Alligator mississippiensis: one gene and its partners. Each later gene encodes a partner of the first gene's protein in a complex. Links are inferred from orthologs where the notes say so. Each region holds a gene or a part of one and is shown in the gene's direction. Other genes may lie near its edges.

Region 1 (7,808 bases):
CAATCCAGGCTGACCTTGACAGACTCAGGAAATGGGTGGACAAGAATCTGATGGTGTTTAACACTGAAAAATGCAAGGTTCTCCACCTTGGGAGGAAAAACCTGCAGCATGTCTATAGGTTCGGCAGTGCTACACTGACTAGCACTACAGATGAGAGAGACTTGGGGGTCAGGATTGACCACAAGATGAACATGAGCCTTCAATGTGATGCTGCAGCTAGTAAAGCAAGCAAAACCTTGGCTTGCATCCATAGATGCTTCTTAAGCAAATCCCAGGACGTCATTCTCCCATTGTACTTGGCCTTGGTGAGGCTGCAGCTGGAGTACTGCGTCCAGTTTTGGGCTCCACAATTCAAACAGGATGTGGAGAAGCTTGAGAGAGTCCAGAGGAGAGCCACACACATGATCAGAGGTCAGGAAAACAGACCTTCTGATGAAAGGCTGAGAGCTATGGGACTCTTCAGCCTGGAAAAGCGCAGGCTCAGGGGCCATCTGATGGTCACCTATAAGTTTATAAGGGGTGTTCACGAGGATCTGGGGGAACATTTGTTCACCAGAATGCCCCAAGAGATGACAAGGTTGAATGGTTATAAACTCCTGCAAGACCATTTCAGGCTGGACATAAGGAAGAACTTGTTTACTGTCCGAGCCCCCAGGGTCTGGAATAGCCTGCCGCCGGAGGTGGTTCAAGCACCTACTTTGAACGCCTTCAAGAGAAACCTGGATGTTTTTCTTGCTGGGATCCTATGACCCCAGCTTGTTGCCCTGTGGGGTCAGGCCATATCTCAGGATCTCAACATTGTGCTGTTACACAGGAGGGTGTGACACAATTGCACATATACAAACACACAAATCAATTAAGTGCATACACACACACATACACACTACCAGCTCAGGCACATACACATCCAAACCAGCCTAGGCACATGCATACTTATCACCAAGTCAAGCACATACACACTAAAATTAGACAAAAATCAATTGTCAATACCCACACACTCAGTACATATACACTGATCTCCTATGGGAGGGCCTGTCCAGGCAATGTCAGTCCTGTTCCAGAGGGTTCTAGGTGTTCTTATTGAGCATGTGCAGCCTTGGCACAATGGTGGGTTGCCTCATCTTTTGTTTCTTGAATGCTGAGGGTGGTTCCAATGGCTGGGTCATTGGTCCAGGTATTGGTGTTGATGGTTTGGTCATTTAGAGGGAGCTATTTTTAAACCTACTGTCATTGTCTCTCAAGCACCCTCATTTAGGAACCAAGTTACATAGAAGGGGTAGGTGTGAGTCATAGGTTACACAACCAGGCCTGGGGACAGGATGGAGACTTGACAAACAAAATGGAAATTTGACATGACTTATGCTAACTTACAAATGTAGGCCTAAATCATATAGTACCAGTAAAACAGTAATATAGATCAGTAAAAATCAATATAAACATAATAATTATACAATATAAATAAGGAGAGAAAACAAAACAAATACAACTTTCTCCCAAAATAAAATGCTGAAGCTTATCCTATGTCTTAGCTCACTTTTACTTATCTATAGAGAATAGAGAGGGAGAGACAGAGTCAGAAATGGTTGGGGAAAGGGGAGACAATGCATTTAAAAAAAAAAAAATTGGGAGTTTTGCTACAAGCTGACTTCCTGCCCCTGGGGCAGGGGGCTGGACTCGATGATCTTCCAAGGTCCCCTCCAGCCCTAATGTCTATGAAATCTTGCCTCTGTTGAAACGTGTATAAAAGCAGTCATGCAGACAGACCTTCCTTGTTATGTCTGCATGCTGCCTAACTTGGATCCCTGATTGGGTCCTCTAGATGTACTTTAATAATACAAAAAACTTACAACATCAACTCCTTTAAGCAAGTAAATGCCAAATGTTTGGTTATCCATGTAACATATTCTACCCTCTTGTGCATCTAACTTATGCCTTCTGGAAAAAATAGCATGTGATCATGTAATTAAAAATTATGTGAATAAATATGCCAAGGAGAACATACTAAGTTGCACAAGTGACTATAACAGTGGTACTTCTTGACTTTGACCTAAATAATTTTCTTTTAATGTTATATAATTAAAACTAAAGATAATTTCCTATTTTTAAAGGGAAAAAAGTAAAAATGAATTTTGTTATGAAAACTTGTAACATCTCAACATATGGATCATTATCAGGGACTGGACTCTGAACCTTCTGTAGCATTGCACTGTCTCACTATTAGCTGGTAGCTATCCTGGAGCAAAAATAAAAGTAAGGGTACTACTGGTACCATGTGCTAACTTCAGGAATTGGTTACAGGAGTTAGTCAGGGCTCTCTCTTATCTGCTTGCCTCTTTCTGAAGCCTAATGTTGGGGGACCTTTTGCTCTTCTGAGAGGAGAGAACAGATTGTGGAGCCTGTGTACCACACTTACTGTGTCAGCAAGGAAGGCCTATTCCAGACCAGTTTCCTACCACTGCTACAGTGAGTACTACTGCATTGATGATCTGGGCGTAACCTTTTGTTCATAATATTGAGATTCAATTATTATTTTCCCCCAGGAATACGGCTGTAAAATGGCAGGGCATTTTGTGCCCCAAAGCTTGTCCAACATCTGTGCCTACTATATATTTGGCCAAATAAAGATATCACAAAACCCCCTTCCCTCTCGCTGGACCATTATGGCTACAACTACACTCCAACACTACTACAATTTTTAATAGTTTTATAACTTAACTAAACCTACATAAAATTCAAGAGACTTTTCATGGAAATAAGGAAATGTATTTCTCTTTCTTGAGGATTATCCCATGCTGAATTTCAATGGCCTGCTGCCAAGTGTGGAGGTATTAAAAAATAAGTCACAAGAATCTTTCACAGTGAAAAGTATTAGACAACCTAAATAAAAAAATTGCTAGTAGCTCTTCAGTTAAGACTGCTCCTTTGGGTAAGGGTTTTGAGGTTGAGCTACTAGTTTGTTTAACCATTGATGCACACAAGTCATACTTTTAAATGTATAAATGTGTTACCTCCTTGTCAATGGGTGTTACATGTCCCATGTCTGTATTCTGTCCACAAAGGATGTAGGTATGTTACAGTCCTCAGCTAGGAAGCCTGACTCCTTAGCTGTAGTAGAAACTCATGCTTTTAGGGCCCTGGTATGTTGGCCAAGCCCCTCTGTGGCAAGAAACCTTGTAGTGGTGGAGAGGCTTGCGTGCCCCAGTGAGCCTCAGAGCGATATTGTCTGAAGTCTCACGCTGCTGGCAGTCACCCATGGCAAACAGGCTTGAGGGGAGATCCCAGACACACTACCGTCCAACCCCTAGTCCTCAATGACAGAGCAGATAGAAGATGTTAGGATCTCAGCAGCTGTAAAGGCGGAAGAAGACTGCAGCAAGAGGGAGTTCTCCTGTTGTCTACAGTTCTCCCTTGTTATTGGGTCTGGATTGCCACCTTGTCAAGATTGTATGGGTGCTATTTCCATGTTCCAGCTTCCCCACATTAAAGTCACCCACAGGCCATGTGTTGGTCAAGGTGGTGGCTATCACAGTCCACTGCGTGATGATGAAAGATCCTATTGTATCTTCTCCTGGGGTCTCTTTCTCTTCCCTGCAACTGCCATCCCATTCCATCCAGCCTGACCCCTGAAACAGAGGTAACACTGCCACATTGTAGCAGCAACAGCTGGTGGCTTAGTGGTTGGCCCATATCACAAAAGACAGCAGGAAGGATCTCCTGGGACTCAAGCAGAGCAGAAGGGTTGCATTTAGGTGCTGAAGCACTGGAGAGGGGGCATAAGAGGTGGACCCAAGTCTCCCTGGCACTGCTCTCCTTCATATTGCTCTTATTATAGGCCCTGAAAACCTCCCATAAGAGAGTGTGTATCTGGAGGTAGAAGCTGGTGCAGGAGGCCATTTCTGCAGCCTGGCTCCTTGTTTAGTGTGGGGAAAAGGTTTATTGGTGGGAGGTATTGGTGGGAGCACAGCTATCCCTAGGGGTGTGCAGGACCTGGGGCATATCAGCCCGTGCGGGGCCAGGGGATAGCCAACGGCAGAGCATGGAGCCGGAGGGGTGTAGGGGTGGCACACAGCTGCAGTGCAAAGCCGGTGGTGTACAGCGGGGGCTGTACGGCACTGTCCGCTGGGCCCCCCCAAAGCGCAGGACTTGGGGCAATTGTCCTGATTCACCCAGCCGAGGAACGGCCCTGGGTGGGAGGAACAACTCAGAGACACTCTCATGGACCCAGAGGGCCAGGATTTCCCTGTCCAGCTCCTTCTGTGCAAAAAATAAAGATGATTTCCTACCTCCGGGGACTTTTTAACATCTTTAATTTTTCCAATGCCTGATGAAGGGCCTTTGAGCCCGAAAGCTTGTAGAAAATGGGGCGGGGGGCTGTTGTTGCGATTTCCCAGTTGGTCTAATAAAAGGTATCGTTTCTGAACCACGACTTGTAGATTTCTGCATTCCCTTGGCGGGCGGCGGCGCGGAGGACACGAGGCTGGGGCCACCTCGGGCGCTTCTCGCAAGGAGCCGCAGCGGGAAGCGCGCCGGCCCGAGCCGGGCCGGGGCGTGAGCGGGGCGCGGAGGGACCCCGGCCCGGCCCTGAGGGCAGGTGAGGGCTGGCTGGCGGGGGCCCGCTGGGGGGGCGGAACCTCCGACGCGGGTGCGCGCGGCGCGGGGGAAGGCGTTTGGGGCTGCGCGCAGGGGCATTGTGGGCGCTCGCTGCTTTGGGCGGGCCGTGTTAAAATGGCGCCCTAGGTAACGGGCGGCGGCGGGGTGTGAGGTGTTGTGCTTACACGCGTGGGGGCAGTCGCTGGTGCGGCGAGGATGGCGGGGCCGGATCAGAAGTCGCCCAACGTCCTGCTGCAAAACCTCTGCTGTCGCATCCTGGGCAAGAGCGAGGGTAACGGCTGTCCCCCTTCCCCCGCGCGGATCCTGCCACGCTCTGCCTTCGTGAGCCGGACAAGCCCCTTGCACCGTGGGGAGGGTGGACAGTGCCCCCGGGCAGTGGGCTGAGCTTGCCCGTGACCCTGGGCCCTTGCGGGGGTGGCCGGGCCTTGTTGGAGGCTCTGCCCTGCCGGGAGGGTGAGAGAGGGCGGTAGCACAGCACAGGTGCGGGTCCCCCCTGCACAAGCCGGGCCTGCAGGGTTCTCTTGCTCCTGCTACGTGCAGGCAGCCGGGTGGGCCCAGGGCAGAGTGGGAAGTGTTTGTTTGTTTTTTGCCTGGGGAAGGCCCTGCCCTGCTTTTCTCTCCTACCGTGTGCAGGGGTAGGCTGGGTACCCCCTTGCACACACCTGCCCTTGGCTGGCTCCTGCAGGGGAAGGGCACTTGCCAGCTCTGGGGCAGCTCTGCACTGCCTTCAGGCTCTGAGCAGCAGCAGAATGAAACCAGCCGCCAGGTTCCACCCGGTGGGTGCCCTGGGCGAGGCTGCTGGGCTGTTAATAAGTTGTCTGTGACTGGAGATGCTTTGTCCATCTTTCCTCCTCCCTCCTGCCTTTGCCTGGGGGACTTCAGCCAAAATCACTTGTTTGCTGCCGGGGTGGTACCCTGATGATACAACCTTACCTGAGCGGAGAGGAATCTGCGTGCACCCATCTCAACAGATAGGATGTTTGCTGTATTACCTCCCCTGTGTTTCTGGAGGCATCATTCTTCCTAGGTTTGTTATATGAGATCCTGACCTGCTCTGGTTGACTTCTTCGTTAGCTTGCTCTGACTAAAGGGTGATGCCCAAAGGGTTACGCTCGTTGATAGTTATGTGCGGTCTGAAAGGGGCTTATGCACATACTTGTGCTTGTGTGTGCACTGGTGGCATTTTTTAAGTTGCTGTACTTTCTTTAAGTACTGGGAATGTCAGGTGTCACCTAGCGTAATTTTTGCTTGGAGGGTTTTTGAGAGAAGTCTAGGAGAAGTTTGAATTTTCTCACCTTCGCTGAAGTGTTGAGAATGAGGGATAAAGATGTATTTAAAAACAAACAAACCCCAAAACAAAACATAAGACCAACCCCCTCCCTCTCCCTCTTCACAAAATAAAAATGATCAACAGGTTTTCCTGAAGATTCTGTCCAACTTAAAGGGTCATTTGTAAATCTTTTGAAGCATCATAACTGCCATGCTTCTGGAGTTGCCATGGTGTTTTTCCTAGATGAATGAAACGCATGTTTCTAATTAATGTGTTTGAAAACTAAGAATCCCTCTGAAGATTTTTGTCCAAAAAGTGTTAAGCCCTTATGTGTGAGGTCTTTGTTAGTCAGTTTTACATGTGTCCTTTGCAGGCCAGTTTTCTTCTCCATAGTTCATCTGCAGCAGGATATGAGTAACCACCACTGCTTTCGGTTTGGAGATATTTGGATATCCTTTATGGAAGAATAAGGTCCCAGAACTACATATGTAAATTGCTTATAATTTGATTAAAATAAAGTTGATATTTCAGTTGATAACAGTATGTTTCCTAAATATAAACTGGATATTGCATATCATTTATGCAATAAACTTTTCTATTTAGAGCTGATTCTGAAAATAGCATTTGAAATTTTAAGGCAATGGCAATATGAAGTTCTAAGTGCCGTTGCGTCTGTTTTCAGAGCTGTTGCTCTGTGGCACTCTGTGTTTAGATTTTTACTTTCCCAGCTAAATCCTTGAATGTGTGTATGTTGGTTTGTGTGCTTTATTTTTAAGAACACTTCTAGTCTGAGCACTTTTAGCTTACTGCTGTGGAGGAGGCACAACATAATTCCCTTTTACCAATTAAAATGGAAAAGAAGGGAAGTATTTCAGTCGAGGTTGAAGTCCTGGGAACAGGGTTGGGTTGTATTGCCAAATTCTGAAGTTTGTCAGAGAATAAAAAGGATGGTCTCTTCTCTTTACTTTTCAAAATTGATACTAGTATTTTGGAAATGTTGGTCACAGTTCCACCACCCCTCCTCCCCCAGGCACCCTAGCTCTATTTTCTGTTTGTTGGTCTCAGCCTTTGGGGGAAAATAATCTTTTTTTATTTATTTTTTTTGGTCATTGTTTGTGAATGGGTACACTTAAACCAGGATGCAAGAGTTTTGTAGATGTTGATAGGGTACTTTAATCTTGTGTACATTTATTTCTAGTTAATTATACTGAGGAGGGGAGCTCAGGTTTGCCCCTGCAGCTCCTGACCCCTCAGGAAAGGGCCTATAAGAATGAAGACTTCCAAACAATGGTCTCCCTCAACAAAATGTTGTGGGCACTGTAGCCTTTGGACAACTTTCCATTTAAAAATGGTACTTTTTGCAAATGACAGACCTACTGGAACTCCCTAGAACTGAGGGAAAATGCTCTTTGGGATTTGTGGGGGGGCGGGCGTCGGTTAAGCATTTCTGTTAGCTCTTCCTTATGTGAGACTTGGGAGGCACATGCACCTAAATACAACTAGAAAATAGCCAGGCACAAATCTTTAGCTTGTACCTCAAAACTCTTCAGGTTTTATTTGTTTGGATCAATATTAAACTGAAGCAGATAAAACACTTTAAGCACAGGAAGGGTAGGATATGTGTGCATACTTAAGAGCTGTTTAGATAAGGCTTCTGCACTCATTTAGTAATGTGGACATATTTGTTTGCAAAGCGGATATAGCTAGCTCATGAAAAAGACCCAGATATGATTTGACTATAATGTCAAAGTGCGTCCATAGGAAAATATTGAGTTGTGCCTAATGTGGCAGGGTCAGGTATAATAAGGACCAGTGTCTGGAAGCTGAAGCTAGAGGCATTGGAATTAGGAATTGCACACACATTTTTAGCAGGGTAATTAAGAACTGGCACAAACTATCGAGAGAAGTATTGAATTCTCAATTTCTT
Region 2 (7,212 bases), about 38 Mb from region 1:
GTTCACTAGGTAAAACAACAAGCAACATACCTAGCATGACTTAAATACATTGCTTGACGTCGAACATCTTCAGAGTCAATTTCCACAGGATTTATTAGAGCCAGCTGATCAATAGACCACCTAAATTTTCCTGGGGTCTAAGAAAAGAAGGAAGAGCATAGTGTTTACTATTCCAAGCAAAAGGAAACAAAACCCACAGATCTTTAAAAGGAACGGCACTTTCATTACCTCACTAAGATGGCAGCAATTGTTTCAATCAGTGAAAGCTAGATATTTAAACAACAAAAAAGGAGAAAGTGACTACTTACATTTTAATAATTTTATTTTTAATAACCAGTACCAATACCATAGGAAGTGAAACAACAAAGTCTATCTACTATTTTGCATTAACTGATGCTTTCCATTATCGAAGCTCTTAACAAATATGTCTCAGAGAACTACTATGAGAATACCACTATGCCCCTTTCACAGATGAGTAATGGAGATGGAAGTGGTAAATGATGTATCTAAGGGTCAGATCCGGTTCAGAAATTAGGTCCCTAAATTCAAAACTGAGATCCAGAAATACCTGTTCAGCTGCCATCTAGCCCTGTAGGAGCCTGAAGTCATTGGTGCCTAGAAAATTTTAAAGTCAAGAAGTATGTCACCTAGAGCTACATCTCCACATGTGGCACAAGATGATTCCTGTCTGAACAACTAGGGCCAAAATCATACCAAAGACCAGCTAAAATTCAAAACCTAGAAAGTCCCCTACCTAAGTCCCCTGATAGACATGAACTGTGTCTTCAGAGCACACCTAACATGCATCCGTATACAAGGCTTCATTCATACAAAAATGCAGTTATGGCTGCTTTCTTTTTAAAAAGGGAAAGAAGGTGCTAGTGGTGTCCATCTTATGTGATAGCCCAGTAGCTACAGACCTCACCAGAGACCCAGATTCAAACCTACATCAACTACCTCCCTATGGAGTTATTCAGGTAACCACTGGACTCTGCATGTTCTGTGGTAGAGACACTTCCCATCCTCCGTGTTGAAACTAGGCCACTGTATAGAAGAGAGTTCAAGCCTTAAACAAGGCCAGATAAAGCATGGAGTAGGGGGCATTATGACTATTGAGTTTAAACTTACACCCAGCCTACTTGAATCAAAATGTTGGAACAAGTGTTACTGCAGACAGCATTTCTCTAAAGAAAACCTAGCTAACCAGTATTGTTCATCTTTAACTCAACAATACTATTAGAATAGTGTCATGTACAACTAGCTGGGTTTTCTTAAAATCACTAAAACTGCAGTAACATCAAGACTTTCAAAACAGTTACACAGCACTACAAACAAACCAACCATAGTAATACTGTAAGTTTCCACAGAAGGAACTATGTTTAAATTCTTGTAAAAATATTTCAAGTTGTATTACAAATCATGTGTACTTTACGAAGTGTGAAAAATGTGTATGTGGAAGTATTGCTATTTCTTCCATATTCATGTACTAAGGATTAAATCTTACCGATGAGGCTTTCGTTGATTTAAAGACAGAAGGACTGGAAACCACGTGTTCCTGCAGACTATGGTAATCACTTGGACTTTCAAAAGGGTTCAGAACAGCAACCCGTCCTGGAGTTTCCGGTGTTATATGCATTTTAGCTTCTTTTCTATCACCCATAACACAGTACAATACCTAGAAGGAAAATAAGAAGTTATAATTTTAGATCATTCAGTACCCCATGGTTTTGCAGTAAGAAACGATCGTTTCGAGAAACATTAGCAATTCAAAATCTAGTCAGACTGAAGAGAGTACAAGAAGTTTAAATTTGGTCAGTTTTCTGATCGGTTTCAGATAAATCAGAGAAAGAGAATTAGGCCCCTGCTACATGAGACATATGTTATGCAACTAACTGGTTAATTGTGCAATAAGTGTAGACCAGCTACATGTGCAAGGTAGTTATCATGCAATTAACTGGTTAACTGCTCAATAAATTTAGGCCAGCTACAAGTACACTGTAATTATCACAGGATAATGACTCTATACCTGGTTTCTATACCTGGTTTTAATTTGAAGGTGAACCTCAGTGAATCCATCATTCAGATGCCATTTTCATTGACCCAGTACAGACCCCAAAAAAGGTTTACTAGATAAGATAGCTAAATATGCCCCAGGATATTTTGAAGAGCATCTCAACAGACATGTGGGGATTGCATCACTGGATCAATGCCAGAAAAGCAGCCATGCGTTCAGCCACTAACTAAACTCCAACTGGAAGGGCAACATGTACACGGCTATCACATGACTTTTCTGTTCCAGGACAATTACCTGCACAATTGGTCCCAGGACATACAAGATGCCTGTTCATACCCTAAGCGTGATCCTATTCCACCCAGTTTGAATTCCTGGCCAATCATCCAAACCCATACATCTTGCTTTGTAACTGCACTGATCTTAACCTTAAGACTCCATCACAAAAAAGTAGCAACAAGGAGGTGGAGAAGGATCCAATACGGTTTTAAGTTTTCCTGGGGCTTTCACAGTGGAAGAGAACCACGCCTAGGGACTGTTGAAACAGACGGAACAGCATCTGGCCTCAAGTGTCTGAAGAAACCTCTTTACTGAAAGGCTGTATATGGAAAGCATAACGGTATACAGGTACCACTCAAAACCATGCTTCTCCCAGAGAAGACAGAACCTTTTCTTGGATAAAACCTGCATCCTCCACCCCCCTCCCACCCACAAAAATGAGTTCAGGGAAAATGGGATGTGCATTATATGCAATAAATACTGATCCTCAAGACAAGTCAGTCCAGAGGCTGCTGCGACCATTGGGGTACCTCAGACCCTGTAACAACCCTCCTCCGCTCCACGCTGTGTTTGACTAGCTTTGTGCACTCTTGTCAGTTGAAGCCCCGCCCAGCCCTTGATACCGATTCCCCCAGGTCTGGAAATTTTGTGGGGGAAAGCAGTGGCTGCATTAACTAGAGTCCCAAGCCAGATGACACAGCCCTAGCATCGACTGGAGCCAGCACACAGGATTAGAGAGCAGCTTTAGCCCCGTTACCACAGACAGGGGTTGAATCCAATGAGTGCCCTTTAACCCACCACACCAGATTGGGCAGATGAGAAATATCTGGACTGGGCACATGGCCCCAGCACTGCCTTAGTTGTATGCTTATCCCGGAAAGTAAGAACTTTTTCTTCTCCCTTCAAGCTGGCCAAGAAAGTCAAGTGACACATGATGCACAGGGCCTGTGGCAGGCTAAAAAAAAGCCACACTATTGCCACTGAAACTTTATTTTTAGGAAATTAAGTGAAATATGCAACCAAACCTGGAGGGGCAGTGGGGGAGGAAAGGAGGGGGAGGGAGGGAGAAGGGACGAGGGACCCCGAGGCTCTTTCCTTCCTCCAGCTTTGCATCCGCAGAGCCCCTCGATGCGCCACTTCTGGCCTGTTCTGCGCATGCGCGGTCGTAGGGTCAGCACCTCTCAGAACCCCGATTCTCTCCTAATCCCGGCCCGCTCTGTGCATGCGCAAAGACAATATCCCCCCCCCCCCCCAAGGAAATAATCAGCCTAGGGGGGATGGGGGCTCTAGCCCGCACTAGCCCAGGAAGGCCTGTGTAGAGGGAGAGGGAAAAAAAAGATGACCCAAAAATTGAGCGATACCTGCCTCCGCCCGCGGATCCCTGTGAAACCGCCTCTGCCTGACCCCAGGCAGCTCTTTAACTGGCCCGGCCCCCACGCTCCGCCGCTACCCAATCATCGAGCGCCGCCTCACCTGCCTGACCAATCGCGTGGCAACCGCTCTCAAACAGCCCAATCGGCGCAGGGCTCGCTTCACAAATTCGAACGAGTAACCCTCCTCACGGAGGAGTAGGTGGGGTGTATTTGAAACATCATAGCGGGCCGGGCAGGGACGGAAATAGCTCCTGAGGTGTAACTGCATGCGCCGGCGAGAGGTGGGATTTTTGGGGGGGGAGAGTTGTTTTGTTTTGGGGTTTTTTTAGTTTTGTTGTTTTATATAAAAATAAATTATATTTTATCTTTTCCTCCTAACAAGGAAATATAATATATTTTCATAGAAAATATAATATATATTATATGAATAAATATATACAATTGAATGTATGTTTTATGTATTTCCCTGTTAAGAGGGGCTTCCGCTTCCGGGTTTGTGCTTCCGGGTGGCGGGTTAGGCGCACGCTGTCTGTCACCATGGCGAGTAACGCGGCCAACTTGAACGCTGTGCGGGAGACCATGGACGGTGAGTTGGGCGCGGGCGCTCGCTGCGGCGCCCGTTGGATCCACTCGTATTTGGCGTCCGAAGCGTCCGGAGCTGGACCGGCCTCAGCAGGGGTTTGCGGCAGCAGGAGGAGCAGCTCTGTTCCTTCCCCCGAGGAAACGAGCGCCGCCCTGGTTTCCCCCCCGCGCTCTCCCTCCCCGCGCGGTGGGCCTGCAGACTTTCCTCCCGTGCTTGATTTGTGCGAAAGAAATACGAGCACGGGTCAAGACGAGAACAGCCCCGCCGTTAGATGCCCAGGAGCAGTTTAGTGTTCAGCGACAGATTTCCAAAACACTGATGGGGGTAGGAGGGAAGGGCAGAGGCCAGTAACGAGTTCTCCAAGGGGCCCCTTGGCCCCCGTGTGATCCCATGGAGTGAGCCCGCAGCACTGCCCAGAGGCTGACGTGGATGAAACAAGCCTATTGGACACCCACGGTGGTGTCCTAGGCCTTGAGTCCTGGAGCAAGGGTTAGCCACTGCTAACGCAAGAGGGGTATTAGGTAGGTACCAGCTAATTACAAAGCGGGAATGGAAGTGAAGGTCAGAGGGTCATAGCTAGGGATCCTGGTTTTCTCTGATTTAAAAAGTATAAAATCTAATTTTCAGATTAAAGCAGTAACTCAAAATCCACATGTTCCTGTGGTTAAAATGAAAAGCCACTAATATATAGATATGTATCTGTAGCTTGACCAAATCCACTAGATATTAGTGGCGCTTCATTTTAATTGTGGAAAAATGTGGATTTTGGGTTACTTTTGTCTTAAACTGAAAATTGAGAATTTTTTTAATCGGAGAAAACCAGGATCTCTGTTCACAACAAATGCACCAAGAGGGGGCTGTGAGCACAGGACACTGGACAGTGCCCACTGGCCCTTGAACAAGGTGGATGAGAGGCAGGAGGATGACCTTGCAATCACTGGGGGTCCTCTGGGCCAGAACCTTCTTCCTGGTCAGGCAGATGGATGCCGGGTAAGATGGAAGTATGTAATTGACCCAGTAACTGACAGGTCTTATGAAGTGCTGTGACTCCATCACCAGGAGGCAGGAATGAGCCCACTATATCTGGACTTTTTTCTTCAGGGTCCAAATGGTGAGGGACTTGTGGCTAGGGGCATTTGCCTTTTCTGCTTTCCCTTCTGTAAACCCAAGTGCAGTGGTGCAAAGTCTGCCATGGGCTTGCCTCATTTGGGGTGGTCTGGGGGAATGGAGGGGGGGAAAGTGCTTAGATTTGCACTTTTGACTTCCTAGGGCCTGGGGAAGTATAATGAGGGGCCACAGTGGAGTAGGGAGTGCAGATTCAGCTGGTTGTTGGATAGCTTTGGTTGAACGAGCAGTGCAAAAGAGCTCAGTGATGAAAATGCCAACACAAGGGGAGACATGTCAGAGGTAATAGAGTTTGGGAGAAAGAGGTTGATGCAATGAGGAGTTAATGGAGGACTGACCAAACTGGTGTCATGGAACATTTTGTATCCACATCTAATATCACAGTGAACTGGTTCAAAAGGTACCTGGAAAATCAAGCACCACTTTTGACCTGTTCCAGGCAGCCTTATACTGTTATAACAGGCCTGTACACCTGTCTGTCTCAGATTCAAACTACATTTACACTAATCTGAGTATTCCTGGAGTCCAGACCCTGAATTTTTCTGTTCATTGTTCTGTTAAACAATGTAAATAAGCTCTTTCCACTATGTAATCAAGGTAGTGATTTTCTGTAGCTTGATCAAATCAAGTATGCTGGGTGAGCTTGAGATATTGTCTCTTTATAACTATTTTGTTTTTCAGAATCGGGTCCTATTTTGTTTTTTGCAGCACAACTTTATTGTGCCCATTTCAGTTAGTTACAAGTCGGTTTTTTTCTTTTATTTTTGTGACCAGGCACAAATGGGGCAGAATGAGGTTCACCCTTCAGTACCCAGTCTTTGTCTAGAGAATTCTTCTAATCTCTCTCTAGACATAGTGAAATAGTGGGATAATTAGATACAATAATAATGGAACCTGAAGGTACTTTAAAAAAATTGAGTAAAAATAGATGTTAGTGTTGCTCTGATGTTGTTTTTTTTTTCCTGTCAGCAGTAAGAGTTACAGGAAAATGGCTGAAGAATTTTTAGGTTCATCAACTGTGTCCATTAGTAATTTTCACATATGGAAACTGGATAGGCCTATTGAAAAGACCTTTGTAAACAATAGTTTAGGGAAGAGCTCACAATGGTGGTATAAAATATGAGAGAGAGATTGCTAAATATTCTTTCCTTCAAACTTGTTAATTAGTTTAAGAGTTAAATTTCTTGTTTGAGGGGAATAAGAAGCAACACTTCACATTTACTTGAATGAATGGGTGGCAACAGAGGGTTTCAAACACTAGTTGGGAACATAGGTCTAGAAGGGTTGATCATGTTCCATGCCCTAATATCAAAATTGATGATGTCATACAGTCACTTTCATAAACTGCCTAAGCTCCATTTTAAACCTAGTAAGAACTTCATACCCATTACTGCTGTTGGAAGGCTGTTCCAGAGCTATTTAGTTTTCATGGTTGGAGATTTTCCTCTAAATTTCCAACCTAACATTTTATTATACTTCCAGTTTCTATTCATTGGTTCTTGATTCAATGGTTATCTGATTCAACTTCTATTTTAATGTTTTACTGTTCTCAAGAAACCAAAGACACTTACTGAGTAAGAACAAATCATAAATTGAAGTACCACTTTCCTGAGCTGGGTTCCAGCGGCACTGTCAACGTGGTTCTGGAAGTCAGAGATTACCACCACTCAGCCCTTGCCTGCTCCCTGCACACATCTTTGTCTGCTAGGGAATTCTGGGTTACCATTGGCAACTGAGGTTCATGGCAGAGAGAAAATGGAGGGCAGTGCAGGGAAGGTGAGCAACAGCAGAATTCACCTTCTGGGTTCCCGAGCTGTAACAAGCCATTGCCCTTCTGCCAG
Region 3 (7,127 bases), on another chromosome or scaffold:
GACACGCTAAAATTAGGCACGGACACTTAATGGTTGATTTTATTTTACTTACACCGAAGATGGTCGCGGTGCAGGCAGGAAAACTTGCTTGAGTTATAGTTACAGATAGAAAAGAAGAGAGGCGGACAAGAGTTCCTTCCCGTGAACATTCTTTTAGCCCATCCGGTTGGAGGCTCTAAACCGCGAGCCCGTCGCGCCAACCGAAGAAAGTACTCGAAGCAAAGAGCTTTGAATAGACTCGCACGAAGTTTGCTAGGCTCCGTGGAACTTGCGCGCAGGGAAGGGTACGTCAAGGGATCAAGCGGCGACGGGGAGAGGTGAGAGGCTGATCAGACCCCTGTTGCCTTCTTGATATTCACACTGGGTCCAATAGGCTCCACAGCTCTTAGAGATCTTCACGAGACATGAAGTCTCCTCCTCCTGATGTTCGTGGAGTCCTCCAACTTGGGCGGAAACCACTCAAGCCTCTTATATGGCTAGCAAGCCAATCGCTAGCCGCCGCGTGTGTATAATTTAATGCAAGCCAATAACCGGGCTTGAATTAGAATACAAATGGCGGGAACTCCTTGCAACGTGCATTTCTGTGCTGCAAAGAAGAAATGCACCCTGCAAAGAAAGCTCCAAATGGCGGGAAAATAATTCAGTGGTGCCAAAGCGCACACAAACAAAAATCACACCCTTGGGTTGTGACACAACCTACACCCTCAATCACTATAATAAATTCTAAATACCAGTAAATTTTGGCTTTTGATTTTAGGTTTTTTAACATGGCAAATCAGAGCTCCCCTGGCCCCCTTTGCTCACCAGGACGTGAGTCCAGCTGTTTTATCTCCCCCACTGCTTTGTGGTGCTGAGAAGCCCTGGTATGCCAGTGCCCTGCCCATGCCATTGCCCCTCTCCAAAGCCACAGCCCCCAGCCCTGCTAGTGCCCCTCACTCCCAACCCACAGCCCCCTGGTCCTGCTGGTGCCCCTCACTACCCAACCACGGCACGGCCCCCTGGCCCTGCCAGTGCCCCTCACTCCCAATCCACAGCGCCCCATCTCCACTGATGCCCTTCGCTCTGCACCCAGATTCCCCTGCTCCCCAACCCTGCTGGAAGGGGCCCCCAGCTGCCAGGGCTACAGGGCCCAAACCCCAAATGCTGCCCATGGGAGGTTGCAGCTGTCGTGAAGGGGGGCATGGACCCTGGGTCCCCCCACAGTGGCACAACCTGAGCAGAGCCTGTCAGGGGAGTGGATGTGGTCTGTGGGCTTGGGCTCCCCGCAGGCTGCAGAGGCCCTGGGGCCTCTGCAACCCAGCAGGCAAGGCCCACCACAACAGGGCAGAATGGGGCTGGGCAGGGAGGCTCGTTGCTGCTGCTGGGAGCTCTACGCCACCAGTGAGGTGCTCCCTGCCTACCCGTCAGCAGCAAGGGGCACAACTCTGCACCTCCACCCTCACCACTGACTGGTGGGCAGTGGGCTCCTCGCTATGGTGGTGCGGGGCTCATGGCAGTGACAATGAGCTTTCCCACCCCACTTTGCTGCACTGGGTTTTGCCCCCTGGGCTGCAAAGGCCTTGGGAGCAGGGCAGGGAGCCTGAGCCTGCAGTGGGCAGCCTGCACTTGCCCTACCCTGTGCACAAATCTGGGACACATGCCCCCCAGGGCCCCCCTGGGAGTGCATACAGCAGCGGGGATCCAGGCCCGCCCCCCCGGATGAGTTGCCCATGGCTTTGTCCCGCTTCCCAGTCAGGCCCTATGGCTGTGTATTCCAGCCCCGGGCCTCAAGCCCCATGCATGGCCCAGGCTGAGCAGCAGCCCCAGCCCTGCATGACTCCTCTGTCCCTCATTATGAGGGCTTTAATACATGCCCCCCCCCCTCCCCCTGCCACTAGACTTACCTGTGGGAGCTGCTCTCCAGGCTGCCTGGCAGCCATGTGCATGTGTATGCATGCACATGCACACGGCACCCCCTGCCTCACCGCCCGCCTCCCCCCAGCCCCTTGCAGGCTGGAACTCTGCCACCCTGTAAGGAGAAACCCACTGTTTCCCATGTTTTTTCCTTTAAAGGAGAACATCGGGTTTTTTTGCAAAATGAGATTACTGCGTTTTTCCATGGCAAACGGAAAACCCGGATCCATGTTGATGACTATGCACTGAACACAACAATTCAAGCAATTATGTATCTATCTTACAGTACTTTCATTTAGTCTGCATTTCCTTAGCTTAGTAATGAGAATGGCATAGGAGACAATATCAAAAAGCCTCACTAAAATCTAATTCTGAAGCAAAGTCTGTGTGTGTGGATTCAGGGTCATTTAAAAATAATGATAATTTGGCAACCTAAGATAATATTGATGTGTTAATTATATTACATACTGCATGTTATTTTCCATTGTAGCATGTCTTGGTTCTGTTGTCAAGACTAAGTACAACCTTTGACTTAATATATCTTCCTTTAGAAACACAACAGTGCGAAACACTGCTCCTATATGTGCTGCAAATATTCTATAGGTAGAGAACTTCATTTTCCTGGGCTTTCAGAACAACCTTTTTCCTGACCATAAAGAATACATGCAATACATTTTTAAAAAGAGGGTTCTTTTATAAAAATAAGAAGCCTAGTGATCCTGTGCAACTGTAATACGCACTAATTTAGCTAAATAAAATTCCAACAAATGGGAATTAGTTTGTTGTTTGCAAACATGCCAGGTATGTTTTGGCAGAGTGCACCTGCTGTGCTGTTAAATGTGCCTCTTGACCTTGCATTCTACCGTTTTCAGTGGCATGTTAATGAGCAGGCGCGCCTACACAACAGGAAACCATCCTCTACCAGAGCAGTGCTTTTTGACTGGTCTTGGCAGAGAATTAATCCTAGGTACAGAATTAGGCATGTGTCTCTTGTTGCTTTTAAATACATGCCCCGTTAAGTATGGCATTTACTATATGAATCCCCCTGCTGTACCCATCATCCTTCTGACAATGCTATGAATCATGTAAACAGTTGATATCTAGCTCATATTGAAATACAAATACTTCTAAAAGCACTTTAAACCCAGGGGCTTTATGTTCTTCTCTCTTCACTCCACTGGCTGACACTGGAAAATGAACAGGACATTAAACATTAAATGCAAGGAACAATTTAAAACAAGGCACATCACTACTAGAACAATATAATTTGTTCCAGCCATTGTAAAGATCGTTATTTATTTTTGTAATTGGAACATTAATATTTGATCATGATAAAGCAGCACGAATAAAGCTAATATTTGAAAATCTATTAATGTTACTTGTATTGTTAAATAGCTCTTTTCTCATTTTGATAGTATTGAAGTTAAGGTGATCTTTTCAAGAGCACTAAAAACAGCCTAAACCCCATTGAAAGTAAGTGGGACTTAAGCTTCTGTAAGCTTTGGAGTTTTTGGTTGTAGCCGTGTTGGTCTACGGACACAGGCAGACAAGTTCTTTGGGTAAATGTGAGATCTTTTATTAGACCAACTAAATAGGGAGTTTTTTTAGATGTTGAACGTTGAAAACAAAGTGTATACATAAGACTACAAAAGACTAGTCATAATCTTTCTTGATATTAATGGTTATGGACTTTGATACTCTGAGTACTACTTTAAATAGCAATAATCTTTTTTACATGTCTTCTGCCTATGGCTATACAAGTAAAAACCTTTCTGGTTGACATTAGATAGATACACAACTGGCTGAATAGCTACAAACTATATTAACAGATCCATTCCTGACTGGCAGGTCTGAAATGGGCTGTTTAACGATATACTCTGGCTCTGGTGAGGTTCACCATGGCTGCTAATGACCTGGAAGCATGGATGGAGGTGACGGGTAGAGCCTGAATCAGAAGGGGTGGCAAACCTTTCGAAGAGTGGGATTAAAATTCAAAGCGATTTTGCTAACTTGTAGAATCGGGGTAGAAAGGAAAGAAAGCGAGACCCGAGGGGGGTGGGGTTAGGTCGCGGGCGCGTCGCGCGGCAGTGACGCCATCAGAGCGCTACCGCGCGCGGGGCTGCAGCCCCTCCGAATGGGAGAGGGTCGTGACGACAGTCAGGCGCGCCGGCGCAGTGACGTCATCGCCCGGCGCGGGGCGGCAGGTCCCCGAGGCCACGGCGCCGAGGGCCCTGCGCAGCGGGAGGTGAGGGCGGCGGCATGGCCATGGAGAGCTTCCCGCGGCTGCTGGCGGAGCTGTGCGAGGCGCACCTGGCCGCCTGCTCTTGGGAGGCGCGGCTGGGCGGGCGCGCCGTGGGCAAGCGCGCGGCCAAGCGGCGCCTTCAGCGGGCGGCCTACAACGGACTCTTTCTCTGCCTCGGCCTGTTCCAGGATGAGGCCCGGAAGCCGCCGCCCCCCTGCTCCCGGCTCCCCGTGAAGAACAAGGTCCTGATGCTGTCCTTCAACCTGCGCGTGGGTGGGCTGGGCGCCCAGGCCGACCGGCTGGAGGCGCTGGTGGAGGGGCTGGAAACAGCGGGCGCCTTGCCCTTTGCCGAGGTGAACTCCATCCTGGACCTCCTCGTGCAGCTCGCGGGGACGGGCCCTCCCCAGCTGCTACCCCCCAAGAAGGACTATTTCCTCAACAACAAGTACGTTGGGAGAAACGTCAAGTACCAGGGTTACGACTACTACGATGTCAGCGTGTTCGAAGCTGACATTCAGTCACTCATCGCCAGCGAAGAGTGTCAGTTCCACGACACCATTCAAAAGACTCTTCAGATCATGGAGGCGGCGCCTGGCACAGGGCTTCCTGCCATCGGGTTGTTTTCGCAGAGCTACCCTGCCGGCGACAAGTTTGAAAAGGAAACGCGCGTCTCGCTCTTTGGTGCTCTCGTCCATAGCCGTACATATGATATGGACATCAAGCTGGATTTGCCGCCGGTACCTGACAATGCAGATTTGTCTGGTCTTGCAATTAAAGTACGCAGCTAAAGCATTTCTTTTCACACAAACGTACATTAGTTCAGCGTGTATGAGTGGTTCCAATATACCTTCTCAAAACAATCTTTAATAAATATAAGCTTTCCTTGTAGCAGTATAAATGTTACAGAGATGTATATTTAAAGCATCTGCTTACATCTTTCTCTGCAAAATATTTCATTTTTTTGGTTGGCTATCGCTGTGCCCCCTTCCACCCCTCCCGGGCGGGGGGGGGGGGCCATGGCGTGGTCATGGGCTCACTTGCAGCTCCCTACACTGTCCCTGTGTCCTGGGGCAAAGGCTGGAAGTGACAGCTGGAGGTGGGAGGCTGAAGCCTGGAGACTCCAGCTGCTCTTGCAGCTATAGTGATGGGAGGAGCCACAGCCAGGTGGGAGCCTGGGGACTGCATTGACCCCTCACAACTTGCATGTTCTGGAACATTACAGATTATTGGCCATTTACAATGTCTGAACTGAGAATATGCTCCTAGGCAGAGTGAAATAATTCTCATTTAGTTGTATTGGTAGTTTGGTTTAACAGTTATACTCTTAACTTTTGTAGGCACAGATATATTATCATGAATTGATGTGGATTTTGTTATTTATGTTGCAGATATCAGTTTCATTTTCTGTAACTGAATCTGAAACGACTCACTTTTAGGGGATTTCCATTAGTCATTAATAGAATCACAAGAGGAAAAAACAGTTGATGGTATCAAATCATTTTATTGCAAATGAGAGTAGACTTCCTTTGTATTAACATATGTTACTCAATTAATGCAGCATACATGTTTGCAGTAGTCAAATTATCATGATTGTTTGCAGGTTCCACAAAGCATAGACCAGTCTGAAGATGAGGGGTTCCAGTCAGCATCCAATTTGACTCCTGATTCTCAGTCAGAACCAAGCATGACTCCAGACATAGACCTTTGGGATGCAGTGCTTACATATGGACCCAGCAAACGAAGGTGCTGGGAAAGAATTGGATAGTAAGTATCTGATCTTATGCATGCAGTTATCACACAACTTACTTGTGTATGTGTTTTAGTTGGGAGTTATTTTACTTAACATAAGTAAGAAATATGTCATCTGTTTAGGAACACAGATTTCAATACACTGCATAACAAATGTGACAGGATGAGTCCTACATTTTCAATAAACTGCCTTTCAAAGATGGCAGCTAAACTTTTTGTAATGAGAGTAGCAAAACAGGGGAAATTAATTTTTGTCGGAAGTGCTGAAAAGGAGATGTCTATGGTTTATGTCTAAAATAATCATTGTTTGCTTCTAACTGAAAAAGTTAAAGTCAGAGAATGATAGGAAAATAGGGCTGGAAAGCATGTTAGGAAGTCATGTAGTCCAACCCTCTGCTCATGGCTGCATCACTCCTATCTAAATCAGGAAAGCCAAGGCTGCGACAGAACTCCAGCTAGCTACAAATATCAAGGACAATAAAAAGTCCTTTTTTAGATATGTGGGGAGTCAGAGGAAAAGCAAGGGCAACATTGGACCCCTGCTAAATCAGATGGGACAACTGACAACTGATTCAGGAAAAAACAAACTTGCTAAATGAGTACTTTTCATCATTTTTTCACCAGTCCCATGGGACGCCCCTGCCCACTGCGGGACAGGGAGACCCTGGTGAAGGAGATTCCTTACCCTCCATCAAAGCTGACCTTGTGAAGGAACACCTTGACAGGCTGGATACCTTCAAGTAAGCCAGCCCTGATGATTTACACCCAAGGGTACTCAAGGAGCTGGCATGCATCATAGCTCAGCCCCTGGCATGGATCTTTGAGAACTGGTGCTCTGGTGAAGTGCCCGAAGATTGGAGAAAGCCCATGTTGTGCCTATCTACAAGAAAGGGAGGAAAGTAGATCCGGCAAACTACAGGCCCATCGGCCTGACCTCTATCCTGGGGAAGGTCTTGGGAAAGATTATCAAAGAGGCCATCCTTAACAGACCAGCTGACAGAAATATTCTGAGGGATACCCAGCATGGGTTTGTTGCGGGTAGGTCTTGCTTGACCAATCTCATTTCCTTTTATGACCAGGTGACCTATCACCTGGACAAGGGGAAAGAGATTGATGTCATATATCTCGACTTTAAAAAAGCCTTCGATCTGGTATCCCATGATCACCTCTTGGCAAAACTGGCTAACTGCGGCCTTGACCTCAATCCTCTGGCGGGGGAATTGGCTCTGTGGTAGGACCCAGA

What was found. The genes of interacting proteins can lie anywhere in the genome.
Region 2: the proteins of TUBGCP3 (region 1) and MZT1 are in contact, whole or in part, in a cryo-EM structure (PDB 7QJD), measured with the Homo sapiens proteins. The link is inferred for Alligator mississippiensis from reciprocal best matches to the Homo sapiens genes TUBGCP3 and MZT1. Residues at the interface, in NP_006313.1 of Homo sapiens: Lys7, Pro9, Leu12, Leu13, Asn15, Leu16, Cys17, Arg19, Ile20, Leu21, Arg23, Val28, Gln31, Tyr34, Ala35, Val38, Ile39, Asn42, Phe43, Ala44, Pro45, Thr46, Ile58, Leu62, Arg67, Asp70, Phe74, Leu77, Lys80, Leu81; in NP_001065243.1 of Homo sapiens: Asn17, Ala20, Val21, Glu23, Thr24, Val27, Leu28, Glu30, Ile31, Ser32, Arg33, Ile34, Leu35, Asn36, Thr37, Leu39, Asp40, Glu42, Thr43, Ile46, Cys47, Val48, Arg49, Leu50, Cys51, Glu52, Gln53, Gly54, Ile55, Asn56.
Region 3: the proteins of TUBGCP3 (region 1) and TUBGCP6 are in contact, whole or in part, in a cryo-EM structure (PDB 6X0U), measured with the Homo sapiens proteins. The link is inferred for Alligator mississippiensis from reciprocal best matches to the Homo sapiens genes TUBGCP3 and TUBGCP6. Residues at the interface, in NP_006313.1 of Homo sapiens: Pro9, Asn10, Val11, Leu13, Gln14, Glu25, Ala26, Ala29, Gln30, Phe32, Gln33, Val36, Arg37, Ile39, Gly40, Ser41, Phe43, Thr129; in NP_065194.3 of Homo sapiens: Pro65, Arg67, Asn68, Leu71, Met72, Ser74, Phe75, Asp76, Arg78, Asp87, Glu90, Asp151.

Annotation. Positions count from the first base shown.
Region 1 is NC_081824.1:352,502,192-352,509,999, forward strand, and holds the start of TUBGCP3 (gamma-tubulin complex component 3), read left to right. Parts: upstream 1-4,706; 5' UTR 4,707-4,806; coding exon 4,807-4,882; intron 4,883-7,808. UniProt on the Homo sapiens protein: Component of the gamma-tubulin ring complex (gTuRC) which mediates microtubule nucleation.
Region 2 is NC_081824.1:390,150,810-390,158,021, forward strand, and holds the start of MZT1 (mitotic-spindle organizing protein 1), read left to right. Parts: upstream 1-4,157; 5' UTR 4,158-4,200; coding exon 4,201-4,249; intron 4,250-7,212. Other genes in the region: BORA (protein aurora borealis), read right to left, coding at 31-137, 1,505-1,660. UniProt on the Homo sapiens protein: Required for the recruitment and the assembly of the gamma-tubulin ring complex (gTuRC) at the centrosome.
Region 3 is NC_081827.1:39,907,568-39,914,694, reverse strand, and holds the start of TUBGCP6 (gamma-tubulin complex component 6), read left to right. Parts: upstream 1-4,072; 5' UTR 4,073-4,152; coding exon 4,153-4,911; intron 4,912-5,735; coding exon 5,736-5,899; intron 5,900-7,127. UniProt on the Homo sapiens protein: Component of the gamma-tubulin ring complex (gTuRC) which mediates microtubule nucleation.